Saccharomyces cerevisiae S288C: one gene and its partner. Changing the gene in region 1 together with any one later gene gives a genetic interaction. Each region holds a gene or a part of one and is shown in the gene's direction. Other genes may lie near its edges.

Region 1 (3,064 bases):
TGTTTGAATCTTTTAGTTATGATGGTAACCCCTTTCTTTTTATTTTACTGTTGATCCCTCGGATAATCAATAGGTTATCTGCCACAATATTCACGTTCTTTTGCACTCTATTGTCCCTGCATTCGATAAGTGGTGGCGGTAATTCAGGAAAACCCAAGATCTCCAAGGTTCCAAAGGCACCAACCAGAGAAACCCATATCCCACTTGCAGAAATACTGGGTGACACGAAGGACAAGGATGCATTTTGCGAACTAAAAAGCTTTAAACCAGACATTTCCTTCAATGAGGCCTTGCGTATTGCAAAAGAAGAGTTTAAGTTTATGTTGCTCATCCTAGTGGGCGACACCTACGATACCGATACTGATACCGTAGATGTTAATTCTAAACTACTATTGGAAAAGATTTTGTTAAACAAGAAGACTTTACAGTACTTGCGCAAGATTGATAACGACCTGATTATCTATTTGAAATGCGTACACGAGTTGGAACCTTGGCTGGTTGCTCGCCAACTAGGTGTCAGAAACACCCCGGAGATATTCCTCATTGCCAACGTGGCTAATAAGGCTTCCCATTCAGAAACTTTGCCCTCACAAAGACTCTCCATTCTCGGCAAGCTAAAGGTCAATTCACTGAACAGATTCTTGCAGTCGTTAACAAACGTGGTGGAAAAGTACACTCCAGAATTAGTTGTTAATAAAACTGAAATGCACGAGCTACGCATGTCAAGAGAAATAAAAAAACTGCAGGAGGATGCGTACAAAAAGTCGCTAGAAATGGACAGAATCAAAGCTATAGAAAAGGAAAAGAGCTTGAAACACGCTCAGGATTTGAAATTAAACTCAACTGCTCGGCAATTAAAATGGTTAAAGGCTTGCATCGATGAGATACAGCCGTTCGAGACAACGGGGAAGCAAGCTACTCTGCAATTTAGGACTTCTAGTGGCAAAAGATTCGTCAAGAAGTTCCCCTCCATGACTACACTTTACCAAATCTACCAATCCATTGGGTGTCACATATACCTCGCGGTATATTCTAGTGACCCCGCAGAATGGTCTAACGCCCTCCAGGACAAAATCAGGCAATTATCTGCAGACGACGATATGCTCTGCTTTAAAGAAGGACAACTCGAAACTGCTACTGCTACCACTATCGAAGAGCTCGGCCACATCATCAACAACGAGCTTACCTCATTTGATCTCGAACGTGGTAAACTTGAATTCGACTTTGAATTGGTATCGCCCTTCCCTAAGTATACTGTGCATCCTAACGAGCACATGTCGGTGGACCAAGTGCCCCAGCTATGGCCAAATGGCAGTCTTCTAGTGGAAGCACTGGATGAAGAAGATGAAGAAGATGAGGAAAATGAAGAACAATGATAAAATAGCATATCGTTAAAAACGACAAACGCGTACAAAGAGTTTCTGGAGTTTACTTTTTTTTCATTTTTCGTTTTTACTCTTTCGTCTCCCTAATGATTTTGGCCAACCGTTGGTTGTTACGTGTTATATGTTTGTTTTAGGAGCTGGGGCCTACCTTTATAGTTAGTTGTATAACTCAGTTGATCTCATAAGTGAAAAGCAAAAAAAGGATGCAGGTGTTACAGTTATGGTTGACAACTTTGATCTCTTTGGTGGTGGCAGTGCAGGGATTACATTTCGACATTGCAGCATCTACAGATCCAGAACAGGTTTGTATTCGTGATTTTGTCACTGAAGGTCAATTGGTTGTCGCGGATATTCACTCAGATGGTTCTGTTGGTGATGGACAGAAACTAAACCTCTTCGTGCGTGATTCAGTTGGAAACGAGTATCGTAGAAAGAGGGACTTTGCAGGCGACGTTCGTGTTGCGTTTACTGCTCCATCCTCCACGGCATTCGACGTTTGTTTTGAAAATCAGGCTCAGTATCGTGGCCGTTCTTTAAGCAGGGCCATTGAATTGGACATTGAGAGTGGTGCTGAAGCTCGTGACTGGAACAAGATCAGTGCCAACGAAAAATTGAAACCTATAGAAGTGGAGTTGCGTAGAGTGGAGGAAATTACCGACGAAATTGTCGACGAATTGACTTACTTGAAAAACAGAGAGGAGAGATTAAGAGACACCAATGAATCTACCAACAGAAGGGTAAGAAATTTCTCAATTTTGGTTATTATTGTCTTGTCCTCGCTGGGTGTTTGGCAAGTCAACTATTTGAAGAACTACTTCAAAACGAAACATATCATTTAAGCAAAGGAAGAGGACCACACCATGCATTTGTGTATCAGCTTACCCTATAATTGCATATGTACTCGACTATTTTCTACATATATATGAATAGATTCCAGAACCGAATAAAGGAGAAAAAATATTTGAATATGGATTTGTTCGCTTCACATCTTTAAGTAACCTAGTTTTCCCAATACGCAACCAAAGTCCAAGTATGTCATGAAAAGCCTCTTGCCATCAGTAGCACAACTAATCATTTCAATGGTCCCAGAACTTTGGTCAGCCCCGATGAGATTGGAGATTTTTTGAAGGTCTTTTACGCTTAATACATGATCTCTTAAGGCCACTTGCGGGAAATCCACGTCTCTGCCACAGTTTCTAATAAGCATCGACCATAAATCATCTATTACTGTTAAATTATTCATCAGTATCAGTAACTGGCATGTGCATCGTACCAGTTTCGTGAAATCTATTACGTCAGTTCCTTCTATAATGACGTCTTCATTTCTCACCAGTTTCCAAATTGTGGGCTCTAGTTGCAAATCCTTGAAGAACCTTGGTAGTTCATTAACGGTCATATCATGGTCCAGACTGGATTCCGCATATTTTTCCAGAATTTCATCTTCAACTTCGATAGGTACTTTCGGGTTCTCGAATAGCTCTACTCTTTCATAACTAACGTTAGTGGATTTGCTCATTGAAAAAAAACTCGGAAGGTATTTAGGTGACCTTGCGGCTTCTTAATGCTGACACCTGCATGCGTAATTGTTATTATATATATATATGATAGTATATTTCATACTTGTTCCTTCTAAAGGTGACCCGCCTGATATGCGACATAGAAAAAAATTTGGATGAACA
Region 2 (2,665 bases), on another chromosome or scaffold:
CCAAACCTGAGTATTAGAACTATCACTAAAATGCCAGAGAATATGAGGAGAAACCCTACAGAAACCCCAACGCAATTTTCGTTATCATGAAAAAGAATAATTATTGAGATTAAAACCCCAATTACTAGAGACAAAAGCATGACCGGTGTACAGTGAGCTGCTTCATATATCCAATAACTCAAGTACGAATGGAATATGTCCTTAGGAAGAGCCACATTTTCCTCGATTAAATATGCACCGGGTTCGTCGAGAGAATCCGACTTGGCGTTGGTATTTTCTGAAGGGGTTTGCATGTTGAATTGATATCTTGTCTTGTGTAAGGTTATTATATGGTTTTGGAGGTTGTTATGCTGATTCGAATTACGACTTGATCTTGATACTAATTGAGCTTTGACGAAATATTTTAGCAATTCAGAACCCCTTTCATATTCTTTTTCTTCTTTTCATTTTTAGAGGCGTTATTTCACTAATAGGTACAGCCTCCGAAATAATACGTAATTGAAGATATGATAATAACAGTACGAGCCTTTTACAGGGCCATTATGATCATGAGTGAGATCCAGAAAAGCACATTGCATGGCAGTCGGATGTTGAGAATTGGGGGAATTTTGAGATAATTGTTGGGATTCCATTGTTGATAAAGGCTATAATATTAGGTATACCTAATATACTAGAAGTTCTCCTCGAGGATATAGGAATCCTCAAAATGGAATCTATATTTCTACATACTAATATCACGATTATTCCTCATTCCGTTTTATATGTTTCATTATCCTATTACATTATCAATCCTTGCACTTCAGCTTCCTCTAACATCGATGACAGCTTCTCATAACTTATGTCATCATCTTAACACCGTATATGATAATATATTGATAATATAACTATTAGTTGATAGACGATAGTGGATTTTTATTCCAACAATCTCAACATTCACCCATTTCTCACATTTATCTCAAAATCCACCCATTTCTCAATAATATATATGGTAAGTAACCAGTTGTCAAAACAGTTTATCAGATTAATTCACGGAATGTTACTTATCTTATATATTATATAAAATATGAATCATACTAAGTGGTGGAAGCGCGGAATCTCGGATCTAAACTAATTGTTCAGGCATTTATACTTTTGGGTAGTTCAGCTAGGGAAGGCCGGGTTTTATCTCATGTTGTTCGTTTTGATATAAGGTTGTTTCATATGTGTTGTATGAACGTTTAGGATGACGTATTGTCATACTGACATATCTCATTTTGAGATACAACATTTTCAGTTAATTTGTTTCCGATATAGTGTAACGGCTATCACATCACGCTTTCACCGTGGAGACCGGGGTTCGACTCCCCGTATCGGAGTATTTTTTTGAAAGTTTTTTTTCACGTTAGTTCCGTGAAGAAAATTTTTTTTCTTCATTTCGGAGAAAAAACAAGGAAGGAGAAAGATTTAAGAGTGATAGCTAGATCATGTATTCCTTAATACGAAGGAGAGACCTGGATTTTTCTCATATTATTATGTCTCACTGCCTACTTAACAAAGACATTTACCTTTGAACTGCAATTAAAGTAAAGTAAAAAAATTAAGAATAAAAAGAAAAATGGGTGCTTGGTTATTTATCCTTGCTGTTGTTGTCAACTGTATCAATTTGTTTGGCCAAGTGCATTTCACAATACTATACGCTGATTTAGAAGCTGACTATATCAATCCAATTGAATTATGTTCTAAAGTTAACAAGTTAATTACCCCTGAAGCCGCCTTGCATGGTGCTTTGTCATTACTATTCTTACTGAACGGTTACTGGTTTGTATTTTTATTGAACTTACCAGTTCTAGCTTACAATCTAAACAAGATCTACAATAAAGTTCAACTTTTGGATGCTACCGAAATATTCAGAACTTTAGGCAAACATAAAAGGGAGAGTTTCCTAAAGTTAGGTTTCCACTTATTGATGTTCTTCTTCTACTTGTACAGAATGATCATGGCTTTGATTGCTGAAAGTGGTGATGACTTCTAATCCAACAAGACATTGAAATCCAAAGAAGACTGAAGGGCCAAGAATAATAGACATACTTAATGGCCGCCCATAGATTGGAGGAAAACTGAAGATAAAAAAGATAAATACACAGAATGTATTAATTCGTGCTTCCCTTTTTTCCTTTTTTGCTTTTTTTCTCAATTGTCGGTGGGAGTTATCAATTTTTTTCGTTATTACCAGCATCTATTAAAGTAAAATACCGGTGAATATCGGTAAATAATAGGTTACTGTATAAATGTACATATAAATATTTGTATAGTTAGTATGCCATACAAAATAAAAAAAAAAAAAAAAAAAAACTAAAAGGTTGAGAACTTAAGGGTGAGCATGACTGTGAAATTTTGAAGAGATGCAGTAAGCCATCCCATATCTATTGCTCCAGGGCCCAGAAAAAAAAAATAAAAAATAGAACTTAAGTTGAAACTTAGTGCAAAAGATATATAATGAAAAAAGATAACCAAATCTGAATCTAAATGAAAATGAAAATTTCTATACATAAATAACGAAGAATAAAATACTAAAATGAAAAAAATAAATAAAAAAGGTAAATCGTAATAAGAGAAAAAAAAAGGAAAAATGTCAAAACGTAATCATGAAAAAAAAAAATTCAATTGATTTTTTTTTTTTTAATTT

What was found. Genes that interact genetically often act in the same process or in processes that back each other up.
Region 2: mutations in ERV25 (region 1) and ERV14 together harm fitness more than expected from each alone (negative genetic interaction), as found in Saccharomyces cerevisiae (5 studies listed by BioGRID).

What each region holds. Positions count from the first base shown.
Region 1 is NC_001145.3:244,528-247,591, forward strand, and holds ERV25 (Erv25p), read left to right. Parts: upstream 1-1,588; coding exon 1,589-2,224; downstream 2,225-3,064. Other genes in the region: UBX2 (Ubx2p), read left to right, coding at 1-1,376; RAD33 (Rad33p), read right to left, coding at 2,368-2,901.
Region 2 is NC_001139.9:400,217-402,881, reverse strand, and holds ERV14 (cornichon family protein), read left to right. Parts: upstream 1-1,594; coding exon 1,595-2,011; downstream 2,012-2,665. Other genes in the region: pheromone-regulated DUP240 family protein PRM8, read right to left, coding at 1-293. UniProt on the Saccharomyces cerevisiae protein: Could regulate export of the bud site and axial growth sites selection protein AXL2 and possibly other secretory proteins from the endoplasmic reticulum in COPII-coated vesicles. Seems to be required for axial budding pattern in haploid cells.